Ovis aries: one gene and its partner. The protein of the gene in region 1 purifies or fractionates together with the protein of each later gene. This does not show direct contact. Links are inferred from orthologs where the notes say so. Each region holds a gene or a part of one and is shown on either strand. Other genes may lie near its edges.

Region 1 (9,133 bases):
CATGGGCCCTGGTGAGGAATTTGGTTTTTATTCCTCCAGAGAGATGAGAGCCATGGGAGAATTCAGAGCAGAAGAGGAACTTAGATGTTTGGGGTGTGGGAGGAGGGGGTTAACAGCTCTATTGAAACATAATTCACTACCATAAAATTCGCCCATATAAAATATGGGACTCAGCGGTTTTTGTTTAAAATTTTTTCCCCCTTGTGATGAGAGCTTTTAAGATGGACTCTCTTAGCACCTTTCAAACATGCAATACAGGATTATTAATTATACTAACCATGTTGTACTTTATATCCCATGACTTACTTGTTTTACAACTAGAAATTTGCTTTTGACTCTCTTCACCCATTTTGCCCATCCCCCGACCCCTCAGGCAACCATCAATCTGTTCTGTGTCTACAAGCTTCTTTTTGGTTTTAGATTCCATATGTCAATGAGACCCCGTGGCATTTGTCTTTTTCTGTCTGACTTCTGTCATCTGTTGTCCATCCGTGTTGTGACAAATGGCAAGATTTCCCTCTTTTTTATGCCTGAATAATATTCCATTGAATTCACGTTTTCTTTATTCATTCCCATCAGTGGACACTTAGGTTGCTTCCACAGTCTTGGCTATTGTAAGAAATGCTGCAATGAACATAGGGGTGAATGTATCCTTTTCAATTACTGTTTTCATCTTCTTTAGATAAGTACCCGGAAGTGGAATTGCTGGATCATATGGTAGTTCTGTTTGTTTGAGGAAACTCCATACTGTTTGTCCATTGTGGCTACACCAGCTTACATGCCTAGGAATAGTGCCCCAGGGTTCCTTTTTCTTGACATCCTTGAATGACACCTGTCATTGCTTGTCTTTTTGATGATGGCCTTTCTGATAGATGTGATATCTCATTGTGGCTTTGATTTGCCTTTCCCTGGTGTTTAGTGATGTTGAGCGCCTCTTCATGTACCTGTTGGCCATGTGTATGTCTTATTTGGAAAAATGTCTATTCAGATCTTCTGCCCATTTTTAAATCAGATTTTCTTTTTGCTTTTGAGTTGTATGAGTTCTTTATATATTTTGGATATTAGTTCTTTATGTATTCTGGTTCTTTATGTATTCTGAATGTTAATCCCTTATCTTGTACATGGTTAGCAATGTACCCCATTCAGTAAGTGGCCCTTTCATTTTGTGGATGATTTCCTGTGCAAAAACACTTAATTTGATATAGTCCAACATTTATTTTTGCTTTTAGTGTCAAATCCAAAAAATAAAATCTCCACATCTGATGTCAAAACATACTGCTTATGTTTTCTCCTGGGACTTTTGTGGTTTCAGTTCTTAGGTTCAAGTATTTAATTCATTTGAGTTAATTTTTGCATAAGGTGTAAAATAGGGGTCCAGTTTCATTCTTCTGCATGTGGCTGTTGAGTTTTCAGAACACCATTTATTGAAGAGACTATCTTTTCTCTGTTGTATATCCTTGGCTCCTTTATTATAAATTAATTGCCCATGTATGCGTCAGTTTATTTCTGGGCTCCCCATTCTAGTCTGTTGATCCATGTGTCTGTTTTTGTGCCAGTACCATACTGTTTTAATTACCGTAGCATTGTAATATAGTATGAAATTAGGGCACACGATGCCTCCAGCTTTGTATTTCTTTCTCAAAATTGCTGTGGCTATTTAGGGTCTTTCCTGATCTCATACACATTGTAGAATTGTTTGGTCTATTTCTGTGAAAAATGCCATTGGAATTTTGATAGGGATTGCACTCAATCTCTCAATTGCTTTGGATAGTATGGACAGCTTAATAATATTAATTCTTCCAGTCCATGAACACAGGATATCTTTTCATTTATTTCTGTCTTCTTCAATGTCTTTTATCAAGGTTTTATCAATGGCTTTTATTATAGTCACAGAGTTGTCCTGTGATTATATTATCACCACAGTAAATTTCAGAACATTTCCATCACTCCAGGTAGAAACTCTGCATCCCTTATCTGTTATCCCACAGTCTCCCCAGCCTGTGGGGATCCACTTTTGTAGATCTATTTTTGTCCTTTTCGAGTGGCCTGTTCTGGAAATACATGTGGAGTCACGCAATGTATAGTCTTTTGTAACTGTGTATTTCACTTAGCATAATGTTTCAAAGTTTATCCATGTTGTAGCACATGTCAGTACTGCATTTCTTTTTATTGCTAAATGATGTTCCACTGTTTGAATAGACCACATGTAGTTTATCCATTTATCAGTTGATGAACATTTGGGTTGTTTCCACTTTGGGGCTTTTGTGAATAATCCTGCTATGAACATTCAAATACAAAGTGTTTGTGTGACTACATTCTTTCGTTTCTCCTAGGTAGATACATAATAGAGGAATTGCCGGATCATCTGGTAACTCTGTTATCTTTTGAGGAACTGCCAGAGTTATTTTCTAAAATGGCAGCATCGTTTTACATCCTCACGGTCTCCATATTCTCACTAGCACTTGCTACCGTTATCTTGGGACTTTGTTTTAAACAGGGTCCCTCTGGCTGCTCTGTGCCGAATAGGCTGAGGGAGACAGAGGTATTAATAGAAGCTGGAGACCCAGTGAGTAGGGACTATAATTGCCCAAGCTGCAGGGCATGGTGCCTGGACCAGAGTGGGGGCAGCAGAGGAGGTGAGAAGTGACTGGATTGTGGACAGACTTTGAAGATGGAGTTAATGGGATTTGTTGCCAGAGCAGTTGTGGGGTGTGAGAAAGGGAGGGGGGGTTAAGATTGACCCATCAACTGACATGAATAAGACTGTGGTAGGAGAGGGTTTGGCAGGTGGACTCAGGAGCTCAGTTTTGGGCAACTGAGTTTGACATACGGCAGACATTCATATGGAATGTCCGGTAGGGACTGGGTATTCCATGCTAGATCAACTGTTGGCAGTCATCGCCCGTTTCTTTAATAATTCAAGTCAGAATTGAATCTGCAATCCAGGGTCTCAGTTTCTCCCTCCAGAAAATGGGATCAGGAGTACCACTGTCATGAGGCTGGGGAATTCCTCTGCAGCACAGGGCAGGGTTGCACATCTGGAAACCAAGGTAATCCGTAGAGTGGAAAGGTCCGCAACTGGGAAGAGAAATGGAGGTTACTCTTGGTTCAGACAGCGTCCGCCTGTCCGTCTCCCCGCCCCCAGCCTCTGGCTGCCATTAGAGACAGGGAGGGAAGATTGGGTCGTCACCCTGCCTTTCCCCGCTCTGAGCCGTGTTTCCTCCTCGGGGGCTGCCCGGGCCAAAACTGCTGATGGAAACCAGCTGCGGGAGGCGCCGAGGTTAGGCGTAAACCCAGGCCCCTCCCCGGCGCCGGCCGACCCCGCTAAGGGAGGGGGACGGGGGCGCCCTAACTCCCCTCCGCTCTTCCGCAGCCGGGCCCGGGGCCCTGGCACGTCCGGCGCGCCTGATGCTTTCCAGATGTGAGCCTAGTTCCCCTCCCCCCACGCAACCTGGCCCTGCTGCTCCCGCGCGATAGGGGGTTGGGGAGCCAGGGTCCGATATCCCCCTATCAAATTGGGGACCCAGGCCCGTATCCCCTGCCGGCCGGTCTTGCTTCCCTGCTCAGGCAGTAAAAACCGAATTGGGATGGAATGACTGCAGTAAAGAGGCTTCTTTCCGCGACCTCCACGTCTCCCCGGGGCTCGGCCTCCGCCCCTCCCTCAGCCCGCTAGGGAGGCGAGGTCGGGAGCTGGTCCCAAGACCCGCCCCTCGCGGCAAACCACACCCAGGACACGCCCCAAAGACACGCCCCGAACACGCCCCTTCTACCCCCACCCCGAACTTCCACGCCCCTTTGGCGGCCCAGAGGTCTTGCCTCTGGGAAGCGCCTCTGCAGACTCCGCCTCTGCCGTCTGGTCCCCTGCGGAGGGTGCGGTCGGTCGTGTCTGTGTCTCTACCCTCTTCTGTCTGTGTCTCGGTGTCCGTGTTTCTCAGTCACCGTTTCTGACTGTACTTTTCTGCCTGCGTGTCTCTCCTGCACGTCTCAGTCTCTGCAACCCTCTGCCTGTCTCTGTCTCTCTTAGTCCCTGGGTCCCCATCTCTCCAAATTTCCGTCTCTGTGTCCCTATCTCTGCCTCTGTCTCTCCCGGCATCTCTCTCTCCCTCTCTCTGAATTTCTGTGTCCGGTCCATCTTCAGTGAGCTTTCTCTAGCTCCCTCCACCTTTCTGTGTCTCTCCCACCTCTAATTCCCAGCTTGCCAGCGGGGGCGCTTTGCCCTCCGGGTTTCTACCTCCTACGGCTTTGGCGCCGGCGGAGTGGGCGGTTCGGCGGACCGCGGGCGCCCCCGTGTGGCCGGCAGGAAGCTGCCAGGAGACGACTGCGGGCTGAGTGTGCAGCGCCCGCGAGTGTGTTCAGGGCAGGACACTATGGGTGACACTCGCTGTGTGAGTGTGTACCACTCTGAGATCGCGCGTGAAGTCCAGAGGTTGTGCGTAGCTGTGTGACCTTGTGAGATTTTCTGTGACAACCAGAAACTGGGCGTGACTGTGAAACTGTGTTCAGTTCAGTAAAGTTCAGTCGCTCAGTCGTGTCCGACGCTTTGCGACCCCATGCACTGCAGCATGCCAGGCTTCCCTGTCCATCGCCAACTCCCGGAGTTTATTCAAACTCATGTCCATTGAGTCGGTGATGCCATCCACCCATCTCACGCTCTGTTGTCCCCTTCTCCTCCTGCCTTCAATCTTTCCCAGCGTCAGGGTCTTTTCAAATGAGTCAGTTCTTCCAATCGTGTTACACCGAGACATTGTGTGTGACCGTTTACGTGAGTGACCGAGATGACGTATCGGTGACTGCATGTGACACCATGAGTTTGGGGGTCCCTGAGACACTATTTGGAGGACTGTGACATTGAGAGACCATGTGTGAGCAAGAGGTTGTGTGTGACAGTGTGCAATATGGTGAGGATGGGAGAGTTGTGTGTGTCCATGGGGAGAGGGTGTGTGAGAGACGGCAAGAATGAATGAGAATGGCCCACCAAGTAATGGCGTGAGAAGCAGTGTGAGAGACGTGGGGAGGGAAGCTGAGTGTGAATGACCTTGTGAGTGTGCGACAAGGGTGTGTCAGTCACAGTGATGACGTGTGAGATGCTGGGTGTGACTGTGTGTCACACAGATCGTGTGGGGCCCTGAGAGACTGGCAGAGTGTCATGGCAGTGCATTAGAGAATGTGCAACTGTCCAGGGCGCTCAGATGAGCATGCAAGAAAAACTGCATGGGTGTGAGCTGTGACACCAGGCGGCTGCGGTATGAGGGCAGCACCTGTGTGTGATACAGACTGTGTGAGGCTCAGCAAGACATCTTGAGAGGTTGCGTGTGGTCCTGTGTGGAACTGCGCGTGTGTGTCTCTACACCTGACGCTCAGAGGTTGTCCCTCTGACTGTGGTTGTGTAAGATGTCACTGGTGGTGATGGGCCTCTCAGAGAGATCGTGAGGGACCGTGTGACATGACTGTGGCGCCGCGAAAGGTTAGGGTGGTTCAGGAGACTGTACGCAGCATCATGTGAGGCATCTCTGCGAGGGACTGTGAGTGTGACTCTGTGTGCTGAGAGGGCATTATTTGGGGTGGGGTGACACGGAGGTTGTGGGTGTGACAGGGTGGCCGAGCGTATGTAATGGAGTGTGAGGCTGTGTGAACGCACAGGAGAGATCTGGATGACTGTGGGATAAATGCGGCAGAGTGGGGTTGGGGGGGGGCTCATCCTAAGACTCTTTTCCTGTGAGTGTGTGTGTGTGTGTGTGTGTGTGTGTGTGTGTGTGAGTGTGACGGAGACAGAGACAGAGATTGAAAAGGGAGACTGACACAGAGAGAGAGAGAAAGGAAGAGAGAGACGGACACACAAAGACAAAGAGAGACGGACAGATGTAATGAGAGGACCCAGAGAGACAGGACTCGAGGGCGAGGGGCATGCTGGTGGCGTAGCAGGAGGAGGCGGGTCCTCAGGGGCTGTGCCCCAGGAGAGGGGGCGGGGCAGAACCGAGGTGGGTACAGACGCTGTGTCTCTGCCACCCGCCTGCCTTCCCAGCCCTGAGCAGCAACAGGTAGGAGGCTGTGGTCCTGAACCCCGACAGCTGGTCCCTCTGCCTGGGAACGAGTGAATGCGCGAGCGGATGAGTGACTTTATCCTTGCTCATCTCCCTCAGCCTGCCTTTCCCTCTGTCTCTCCGTGTGCCCTCCTCTGTCCTTTTTCATCACTCTGGGTCCCCTCCTGCCCCTCCACTTCTTTCTCTCTGTTCCCTGCCTTTCTCCCCTCTCTCCCCCTGCCTCTAGCGCTCTAGTTGCCCTTCTGTCTACTCTCGCCCACCTCCGTCACTCCATCTCTCCCTCAGCCTCCTGTCGCCCCTTCTTTTTCCTCCCTCTGTGCTTTGGTCCGCGCTGTGCTTCTCTCTCCCATAGCACTCTGCCTCTCTCCTCACACCCCTCTCTCCCTGTCTCCACTCCCTTCAGCACTCTGTCCCACCCGCCTGTCTCTCCATCTTTCTCTCCCTCAGTCTCTTTATTCCCCCTCCCTCTCCCCATCTCTCTCTGCTCCTCTCTGTCGCAATCCTCCCTGTCCCTCTCCCAGTCCTGGCTGTGTTGCCCCCCTCTCCAGCCCTTTCTAAGGCTGCTAATGAGCAGAGGAGCCTTTGAGGTGGCCAGGGTTGGGATGGGGGGCTCCCCGAGGGGGGCGGAGGGGGCAGCTGCTGCCAAGGCCCTAATGAGGCCCCCTCTGGCCCCTCCCGCGGTGATCTTAATTCCCTCTTCTCCGGGGAGGCCCTGCTAATTGGCCTGGGGAGGGCCCCCTCCTGGCTCTTGCGCTCTCCCCGGGAGGCGAGGACACCTGGATCTCTGGATCTAACACCTGTGTCCCTGTCCTCTGTCCCTCCCTCCCCCTGCCTCTCGGCCTCCCGTCTGTGCTTCCCTCCTGCCTTCCCTCTCTTCCCTCCTTCACCTGCCTCTAGGTACCCCATCTGTGCACCCCTCCAAGCCTTCTCTTGGCCTGCTCGTCCCTGTTCCTAGGTCCCCCTTTCGGCCGGCTTCTTGGCCCCCCATCTGCGCAGATCTCCATCGCTCCCCTTTCCTTCTGTTTTCCTGTCTCTTCCTCCACTCTGGGCACCGCATCGGTGAGCCCTTCCACGCACGCCCCTATTAGTGGGTTCCACCGCCACCGCCAACCCTATCTGGGGACCCACCTTTGCCCTAGCCTACTCCTTCGCCCCCACTCCCACCGGCTTTTAACCTTTCCCCGCCGCAGCCATGTCCAACAACATGGCCAAGATCGCGGAGGCCCGGAAGACCGTGGAGCAGCTGAAGCTGGAGGTGAACATCGACCGCATGAAGGTGCTGGGTCGGGCTGGGGAGGAAGGCCGCGGGCTCCGGGGCTGGAGTCTGGACTGGTCAGACTTGGGAGTGGAGCCGGGAGCCCGGGTGGAAAGATCCCCTTCGGAACGGGACTGGACTCCAAGGATAGGGGGTGGAGGGTGGGGAGCGGCTGGACAAGGGGGCTGGACCGAGAGGGGGCGGGGCCTAAGGGCGGGGGCTGGCAATAGGAGAGGCCTGGACACGGGGGCGGAGCCTGACGGGGGCGGGCCTGACTAGAGGAAGGGCCCAGGCAGGGGGCGTGGCCCAGGCAGGGGCGGGGCGGGGGCGGGTGGGGCGGGGCGGGGCGGGGCGGGCGGGGCGGGGCGGGGCGGGCGGTGCGGGGCGGGGCGGGGGGGGGCGGGGCGGGGCGGGGCGGGGCGGGGCGGGGGTGGGCGTGGACATCTTCCCCTGGGTGCCCGCAGGTGTCGCAGGCAGCGGCCGAGCTCCTGGCCTTCTGCGAGACTCACGCCAAAGATGACCCGCTGGTGACGCCGGTACCCGCCGCAGAGAACCCCTTCCGAGACAAGCGCCTCTTCTGCGTCCTGCTCTGAGCCCTCCCGACCCCCCTACCCCGTCAAAATATGAATCCAATAAACGTGGTGACTGCGGGGGTGCCTGTGCTCTCGGGGAAACTGAGGCACATGCAGAACCTGGGGCCACCATGGAGGAGCCCGTGTCCCTTCTCATTCCTTCTTCGTGTGTGTGGAGTGTGGGGGTGTGGGGCGAGGTTATGTGGATGCAGGGCAGGGGGATTATCAGAGGACATCCTACTTCCTGGCTCTGGCCTCCACGGAGTGTTCCCGCGATCCTGAATTGATTTAATCATCCCAACAGCCCCAGAAAGCAATTGGCTACGTATATGAGGAAACTGAGCCAAAGGAGGTCCCTTACTCAGAGTCACAAGCTAAGAGATAATGGGGTGAAGACTGGACGCTCCTGCTCCCTGAACCTCTCGGCTGGCGGCTCTTCTTGCCTCTCTCCTGGGCTGGAGGTCTTTAGAATACCCAGTACCCACCTTTTTCGTCCCCTGAATGATTACAACCCCTTTTTACACATGGGCCTACTCCCTACCACAGCCCCACCCCCACAAGCACTGAACTTGTCCCTGTTCCTTTATTCATTCTTCCAAACACTCCTGGACCTGTAATAGTTGAAACAGGGGTCATGGACACTACCAAGACAGCCCTGGCCCCGGGTTCCTGGGGTTCAGAATCCAGTGGGAGTGATAGAGCTGTCCTGGGATAGTGATGATTCAGAGTGGGCAGAGCTGGGATGGGGGAATTCAGAGGGAAGGCCTGACTCAGCTTGAAGGTCAGGGAGGGCTTCCTGGAGGAGGGGACATCTGAGCTGGTACAGGGTGGGAATTAAACATGGGGTAGAGAAGAGAGAAGTGAGGCTACAGGAGACAAATCAGTACGTACATTCTTTTCTATTTCCTTTTTTCTGAGGACATGGATTACGGTGACAGCCCTGATTCCTCTTCTGTGTTTCCCACTTCATACACTGGTGATTTCCAGGACCTGTATTTGCTGTTTAGCTGCTAAGTTGTGTCTGACTTTTTGGGACCCCATGGACTGTGGCCCACCAGGCTCCTCTGTCCATGTGATATTCCAGGCAAGAATACTGGAGTGGGTAGCCACTTCCTTCTCCAGGGAATCTTCCCCACCTAGGGAATGAACCCATGTCTCCTTCATTGCAGGCAAATTCATTACCACTGAGCCACCAGGGAAGCCCTTTTAGGACCTACATGCCGGCAGTTAAATGAGAGTACTTCACATAAATGCCCACCTTGATG
Region 2 (8,362 bases), on another chromosome or scaffold:
CAGAATAGCTAAGGAATGGAATCCTTAGAATTGTTTCCAAGAAATTACAAAGGATACGAAAAGCTTTTAAAAACCCAAAATGTATACCCTTATATTTTGTTAAATATTCTTTGGCATACAGAAGTTTTAAATTTTCATTATTATCAAACTCTCAATCTATTCCTTGTAATTTCTTTCACAATAGCAAACTAAGGTGAAATTCATTATTTAATAAGTTATTTGCTATTTTGAGAGCACAGTAAGGTTGTGCCTGTTGAAAAACCGGTCAACATTATTTTGCAACTAGTATCAAAAGCCTTAAAATTAGGCCAGTTTTTGACTCATCAAGTTTACATATGAGAATTCATCCTAAGGAAACAATAAGAGAGGTATCAAAAATATTTGCTTATAGCAGAGTTTTTAACGGGGAAAAAAACCCTTAAAAAACACCTAAATGTCCCCAGATTGAAGATTGGTTAGTAAATGATGATATATCCATAATACGGAAAACTATTCAACCATTAAGAAAATATAATATAGGAAAGTATTTATTGGCATGAGAAAATGTTCACAATCTATTGCTAAGTGCAAAAAGCAAATTATAAAACAGCATTTGTTTAAAAACTAAAAAGACAGAAAGGAATTTACTCAACTGTGATTTTTCTTGTGTAGAATGATTAACAAAATTTAGTTTTTCCCCCCTAAGTTTTCTTTATAGAAGTCATATCAGTTCTGTAATCAGGAAAACAATTATTTTTGAAAAGTAAAATTAAGTCAGCATATCTCTCCTTCAAATAGGAAAAGCTCTTGAGGACTTAAACATACCGTAGCATCATCTGATCCCGAAGCAAAAGCATCTCCACTTGGGTAGTACCTGCAGAGAGAAAGTGTGGGGAGAAGGCACTTAGAGCAGTGATTCCCAATCTTGGGTGACCATCAGAAGCCTCCGGGAAGGCCGTCCCACGCTGGGCCCTCGGACTCTAGGGACACAAGGACTTCTCATTACAGAGACCAGAAATGTAGGCTCAGCCGGAAGACCCCACTGGCCTACCTTAGTTTCTTCTCTGTAAACAGGGGACAGTGACACTGGCCTTGCAGAGGGTTGATGAGGATAAATGAGACAATATGTCTATTTGTATCTGACACTGAACACAGGCAGATGCCTATATCCTTACTTTCCCTTGATCACACGCCCCATTCCAAAGGCTTGGCCAGAGCTCAGGGATAAGACAGTGCTAACAAACACAGACACTGCAATTGGATGAAAGGGGACTACAATGACCACTCACTACAGGGGATACTTTTGGTAAGTGACTTTGACTGGCCCAGCCTCAGTTTCTTCATCTGAAAAGTGAGGAAGATAATGTACATTTCCTAAAGACTGAATAAGACAGTATACACAAAAAACATGGTATGGGGCCAGATAAAATGCATGCAACAAATGATATTATTACTGTTACAGTCCTCCTCTCCTCAATAATCAGGCCATCTGGAGAGAGGGTACTGTAAGTTGAAACCTGATGAACATTAGAAGAGGGTTCTGGGTTGAGGGAACAGTATGGGTGAGAGAATATACAATTTTAAGTTGTTATTTCATGAATATATAGGAATTTATTTTTGTAGCTTTATAGTCTATCCCTGTATCTTAATAACTTCACCTACTGTAGTAATTTCTCAAATTATTTCCTTGGATTTTCTAGGTACTCTCTACACATCTGCAAAAACTGATAGTTTTTTTCCCCTTCCTACATTTAAGGTCAGTGAGCTAGAAAATTCTTATTAACATTTCTACTAATAAAGTAATTATTCTTACTGTGTTCTAGCTTTTAAGGGGAATAATTCTAGTGCTTTCCCCTAAGTAAAATGAAGATTCTTCAGTGGTTATACTTTAAATGTTGTCCTGATGGTGCCATCTTCCAAATGGATATGTTAAGTCCTGACCTCTCTCTTGGAATCCAGTTCAGAGATCTGGCTACCTACTTGACATCTCCACTTGGTCATACAACAGCATCTCAAGCTTGGCTAGCCCAAGACAGAACTCCAGAAGCCATGTGCAACCATTGCCTTCTCCCTGCAGTGCTTCCAACTCTCCCAGTTTTAGCAAATGGATCAGTGTTTATGTCCTTTATAAAAGATTCAGGTTCCCTGAGCTCAGGGTTCTCCTCCTGAAATGCAACCCCTTGCACATGCAGGTGTCATTTAGTCCTTTTCATGTCACCCTGTGATACTGGAGCTTGGATAACTAGCATAGCTACTACCATCACTATTAGTAATCAACTATCCTTCATCTCTAACCCAGGAATCTTGTGCCTTTTACCAGCACCCATGAAACTCTGGCAGCCTTACTTGATGGCCTGCAATTAGGGTAAAATCTCAAATCCTTCCCAATTCTAGACATTTCTATCCTCACTGTGTCTTCTTTGGTTTCAGCCACCATCATTTCTATCTGGAACTCACACAACAGCCTTCTAACTGGCCATAATACTTCCATTCTCATTCCCCTACAATGCATTCTCCATACAGCAGCCAGAGTGATCTTTTAAAGACAAAACATGCATCATGTTAGCCACCTCAAGTGGTCACCTGGTCTTTTGTTAGGTCCCTGAGCATCTCATCTCCCTGATCCTCCTCCCAGCTCTTTGAATGCCTGGGTCCTTCACTATCCTGGTATCAATTTAAACATCAATTTCTCAGAGATGCTTGACCAGTCAAAGAAATAACCTATCTCCATCACAGTTCCCTGTTTTACTTTTCAATGAAACTTATCAGTATTTTTGTACACTGCACATTTATCTGTGCTTTGTCTTGTTTGTCTTCTATAGGAAAGTAGAAATTTTTATCTTGTTTAAAACAGTATTCCCAGTTCCTGGAATAATGTTCAGCAGATAAGTACTTAATAAATATTGGTTGAATGAATGAACAAAAAACACTGACTTCGTTTAGACAGGAAATAGCCATTGCCCCTGGTGCAATTACATTGAAATTCTCCAAGAAATCTGGAGTACTGATCGGTCTCACCACACACCAGCTGTTATTGCTGGAAAAGCCTCTCTCAGCAAAGTAAATTGAGGCTGGAGGCTAAGCATTAGCCCAGGCCGGGAGACAGTGGAAAATAGAGAAGCTATGTGAACATTCTACTCACGGACCGGACACTATTGATGTCAGATTCGTGTGTTTCAAAGGCCTGCACGCACTGTCCAGAGCGCATGTCCCACACCATGGCTTTCTTGTCACATCCCTGCAAACGCAAAGTTGCCCAGAGTTATGACTACTGCAAGGACTGCCCACACACAGGTATGAGTTCTCGTTATATCACAGAGATCGTTCAGTTCCCATTAGTAAACGGCTCTGACAACGTGCTTTTTTTTTTTTCTGAGACTAGCTTTATTTAAGGCCACTTCCCTCTGACCTCAGGAGGTCAGAGCTAGGTCCTGGGGTAGGGGAAGCAAAAGAAAGTACCCAGACACCCTTTTTATAGCACGTTTTCTTCTCTGCCATCTTTCTTAATGGCTGCAAGTTCTCCAGGGCCTCCTTCTCCCCTTCCTCCTAGGCATTTCTCTTCATGTTTCCCCCTCCTCTCTATCTCTGCTTCTATAAGGCCAGAGGGGAGGGCAAGTGGAGAGTGGGGATGGTGGGACCTCCCAGGCTTGCCTCAGGTGTGTGGGGCAGCCTGAACACAGGTGGCCAGCCAGGTGCTTCTGGCCAGCTATAGCCCAGCAGCCTAGTCAGGGGGGTGCCCATAGTCAGCTGGGTGGCTCAGGCAAGTCACTTCCCTGGGTTTCCACCTCAACACCTATAAAATGAACCCTCTCTGGGTAGCTAACATGATCCAGAGAATCAAAAACACCAAGTTTATGCATAGCATCCTGCTTCTAAGAGCATTTTGATAAATTTCTGCAGAGCAGTCTGTGATCAACCATGAGCAGCATAATTAGATTCTCAAAGGACAAACAGAAGGAAAAATGGGTTAAAATTAGATTGCTGGTTTCAACTCAGAGGAAGGGGTGGGTGAGGTACCATACTGATGTTTCAGAAAGACCTGCAATGGGGATTCAACTCTCCAACATCTTTACTGAGAATGTGGACAAAGGAATCAGAGTGTCTTCAAATCTTTGGAGGACCCTAAACCATGAAGTTTAGTACTCTGAAAGAGAGAATACGATCTATAATGATATCAACAATCTGAAAAAACAGTGTAGTTGATTGGAGATGATAAATACAGTTATACAAAGACATGGGAATTAAACTTACATAGATGGGGCCAAATATCCAAGAAAAAAATCAGGGTCCCTGCCAATTAGAGGCTTCACAACCCTCATCTGAGGTCCAGAACTAAGAGGTGGGCAGCTTGGAACAAAGGGCCTTTATGTCTTCCAGTTGCAAGCATCATTAGATGGTGTCTGCATCTCTGTCCCCTCCCACCACTGACTCTTGACAGAGATGAGACAGGACCACGGTCAGATCAGCCAGCTCAGTTCTCCACACTTATTCCCAGATGTCCTAGAAATACTTGTCTCTCTTACTTGCATAAAACACTGGAAACTCTTCCCTCTACTATTCATAATACAGTAGAATATATGGGGAGGTGGGGGGCCAATGCTTTTGTGCCTTCTGCACAATTTACAAAGGATGAAATGTGGAGTCAGGCAGCAAAGGTGGGTCCCAGGTGTCCTAACTCCTCGCTGGTGCTCCTTTGCCATGATGGCCTGCCTGCCCAACTCAGCCTTCAGACACACTGTTCCCTGTGCCTGGGAGCTGGAGGGGCTGGAGGCTGGCAGGGGTGGGCTGGGAGAGTGTCCCACTCGTGCCAAAGCCCTGATCGCACCACAGCTATGCCTCACCGCTGTTTCTGCCTGAGCTGCCTGGTGCCCTGGCTGCTGTCTCTACTGCTCTCGGATGCCGACTCTCTGCTACTCAGCCAAGGAGTCTCAGCCCCGCTCCAGGGGTGTCCCGTTTAGTCCCACAGATTGACAGGAAGTGCCACCCTGAGGCTCCCTGGTGGACAGAGGGCTCCTAGAGATCTTCCTGGGATCTTTACCCCAGACACGAAGGTGTTCCCAGTTTCTGATGGGGCCAGGTCCAGGCAGAGCACGTCGGCCCCATGCCCATGGAAGCTCTGCAGCAACTGCCCGCTCTCCACATCCCACAGGGCACATGTGCCGTCGCCACTCGCCGTCAGGATCTGCCGCCGGAAAGCACAGGAAGGGTGTCATTAGGGCCTCTGGGGAAGCCAAGCAGTCACTTGCAGTTCCACAGGGAAGAGAAGGCTCCACACACACACACACACACACACACACACACACACACACACACCCCTGCTTAATCTGGACTCTAGCACAGAACTCTTTCTCCAGTACCGAGAAAGACAGCCCATTTTTGACACCCTTGCTGTCGTGAGCTGTTTACATACCTGTCCTCTTGCAGAGGATGAAATCTGGAGGCCTTCCTGCAGTACCTGCCTGCCTGACACGTAGGAAGCGCTCTGTGAACACCTGCTGAACAGAACCCCCAGCGGGTCCCACAGGCAGCCAAGCCTACCACTGAGCTTCCCAGACATTAACGTGCGCCCCACACCCAGAGGCTCCCTGGCCCACTGAGTGGTGTGGACACACACGTGCAGGGCCAAGGCCTTTGCTGTGTGCTGACCACGTCCAGGCCCTCCACTAGGTGGCAGGGCTGAAGAAAGACCGTGCCTTGGTCGCTGCTCTCCTGGAGCTCCATTAACAGGCCTGGCAGGAAACCCATTTGACTCCCTGTCACCGTGTTAATCAATTCCAGGGCAAGCCACACTTTCCCAGTGCTGCATTAGACAATACTGAAACCAACTAAAAATAAACTAGCTGCTTGCTCCAGGAAATAACCTGATCCTATGAGATAAGACTCTGAACTAACTAAACAACTTACTTATCAGGACTAATAGCTTTGTAAAAAATTAATGAAACAGAGTGTGCTGTGCTAAGTCACTTTAGTCATGTCTGATTCCTTGTGACTCCAAGGACTATAGCCCACCAGGCTTCTCTTTCCATGGGTTTCTCCAGGCAAGAATACTGGAGTGGGTTGCCATTCCCTTCTCCAGGGAATCTTCCGGACCCAGGGATTGAGCCTAGGTCTTCATTGCAGGCAGATTCTTTATCTTATCATCTGAGACACCAGGAAAGTCCTCAGTCTAGCTCTTTAATGGAAATTTTTCCTGGCATACTCTTTGATCAAAGAAATGAATAGTTTTTAAACGTTAACAGTAAATTCTTAATCTTTAAAATATTTTAAATACTTGTAATCTTCATTATAATGTAAGTAAAAATAAAATTTAAAAATCAAACATTCATAATGATAAATGCACTAAACAGATCCTCTAACTCCACTGTCACTCATTTATTTTAGGATGCAGAGAACCTGCAGGTCTTATACCAGCCTTTTGAGGTTTCCATTTTTCATCCTAGATCCCAGGGCTGGAAGGAGGCTTAGTTCATGAGTTCAGTGGTACCCAAAAAAGGCCATACATCTGAATCACCTGTGAAGCTTTGTGTTAATAATAAAATAATAAAAGCTAGCATTTATTGATATTTACCAAGGTTTATATCAAGTACTTCTGGAGAAGGAAATGGCAACCCACTGCAGTATTCTTGCCTGGGAAATCCTATGGACAGAGGAGCCTGGTGGGCTACAGTTCATGGGGTTTCAAAAGAGTCAGACACAATTTAGCTACTAAGCAACAACACTAAGTACTTTACATGAATCATCTCATTTAACCCTCAGAAAACCTCATGAGGGAGGAATATACTACCATCCTCCCTTGCAAGTGAGAAAAACGAAACACAGAGGATAATAAAACCTTATTTAGAATTGACCAGCTAGAACATCAGACTAAACGTCTTCTGTTGCTTTGGCTGCTCCTCACACCCAAAGACGTGAGGAACGGCCAGGGCCACCGTGCCCCCTCCTGCACAGACCTGCGAGACTCCTGGTGGCAAGGAACAGGGGTAAACACTGCCCTCCCAATCAGAACACTGTCCCCAGACAGCAGCCAAACAATTTCCCATCACCAGGTCTCCCTACCACTACCCTTGCTGGCCCGCCTCCTGACATCACTCAGCTGAAACCAGAACGGGCTTTAGTCGGACTCACACAGTCTCCTCCTTCAAATAAACCCAACCTGCCCCAGCCCCTGCAATGGCCGCCTACCGTCTATAGGGTCCGCTCCACCATGCAGGGCATGTAACCTAGCCCTCCTACCTCTCAGGCTGCCTGCCTCCCACAGCGCTCCCCTCATACCACACTGGCAACACACTGTCCGCCAAGGCAGCCTCTCAAGGCATGTTTATGACCCCCTACTCCTGCTCCAGGCTCCCAGCCTCCCTGCTGTGCAGCCACCACTGGTAGCTGGCCACGTGGGTGGTGGCATCTATGAGGGTTTGCTGGAGAGACGTGACAAAGGCAGTGTAGGATGTTTAGGATTCTGAAAGAAAACGCAGCCTACGTATTACCTCCACTTTGTGGCTTATTCAAAGTAGGGTACAGATTTTCTATATGAAGCCTTCTTTTTTCCCATTTGTTAAAACAGAAGTCTAATATAGGTACAATGAGGTGTGCCAAGTGCACAACTCTGAAAGTCAGCACCCAGTGAAATTCTATACACAGAAGGACCTTGGGACCACTTCTCTGACTCAAGAAAGGAATTTCCACCACCCCAGAAGGTTCCCTGATCCACTCCCACCCCCACCAACTCAATTAGAGGAGGAGGTTTGATATGGCAAGGAATTCATTTCAACTGTACCAACAATCAATAGCCCCGACTTTACCTATTTCTGATTTTATTAAAAACAGTAATGTAACTAGGAGTTCCCTGGTGGGCTAGTGGTTTGGATTCCATACTTTCATCATTGTGGCCTGGGTTCAATCCCTGGTTGGGGAACTGAGATTCAGCAAGCCATGTGGTGTGGCCAAAATTATAATATATATTCTATTTGGCCTTCCTAGGTGGCACTAGTGGTAAAGAACTCGCCTGCCAATGCAGTAGACATGAGACAGGGGTTCAATCCCTGGGTTTAACGATCCCCTGGAGGAGGGCATGGCAACCCACTCTAGCACTCTTGCCTAGAGAATCCCATGGACAGAGGAGCCTGGTGGGATATGATCACAGGGTTGCAAAGAGTCAACTAAAGTGACTTAGCCTTCTATATAAAATTATATATATATATAAATTATAGTACATATAAAACCAGTGAGAAGCAACAGGAGCTTCCTCTTAGGGCCAACTGCTGGAGCATACACATTCTCCCGTAAAGAGGGATACTGGAACAGTTTCCTCACCTGCACCCCCTCTTTAGTTCTCTGAGACCGAACTCGCTCCCCCTGCAGGCTGGCGCATCATCACCCAGGCCCC

Evidence for each region.
Region 2: the proteins of GNG8 (region 1) and GNB5 purify together in Homo sapiens (co-immunoprecipitation; 3 studies listed by BioGRID and IntAct, with this or other methods). This does not show direct contact. The link is inferred for Ovis aries from reciprocal best matches to the Homo sapiens genes GNG8 and GNB5.

Annotation. Positions count from the first base shown.
Region 1 is NC_056067.1:53,538,871-53,548,003, reverse strand, and holds GNG8 (guanine nucleotide-binding protein G(I)/G(S)/G(O) subunit gamma-8), read left to right. Parts: upstream 1-3,797; 5' UTR 3,798-3,870; intron 3,871-6,004; exon of another isoform or gene 6,005-6,938; 5' UTR 6,939-7,233; coding exon 7,234-7,317; intron 7,318-7,760; coding exon 7,761-7,889; 3' UTR 7,890-8,007; downstream 8,008-9,133. UniProt on the Homo sapiens protein: Guanine nucleotide-binding proteins (G proteins) are involved as a modulator or transducer in various transmembrane signaling systems.
Region 2 is NC_056060.1:56,350,733-56,359,094, reverse strand, and holds part of GNB5 (guanine nucleotide-binding protein subunit beta-5), read right to left. Parts: intron 5,162-8,362; coding exon 5,018-5,161; intron 3,218-5,017; coding exon 3,126-3,217; intron 854-3,125; coding exon 805-853; intron 1-804. UniProt on the Homo sapiens protein: Enhances GTPase-activating protein (GAP) activity of regulator of G protein signaling (RGS) proteins, such as RGS7 and RGS9, hence involved in the termination of the signaling initiated by the G protein coupled receptors (GPCRs) by accelerating the GTP hydrolysis on the G-alpha subunits, thereby promoting their inactivation.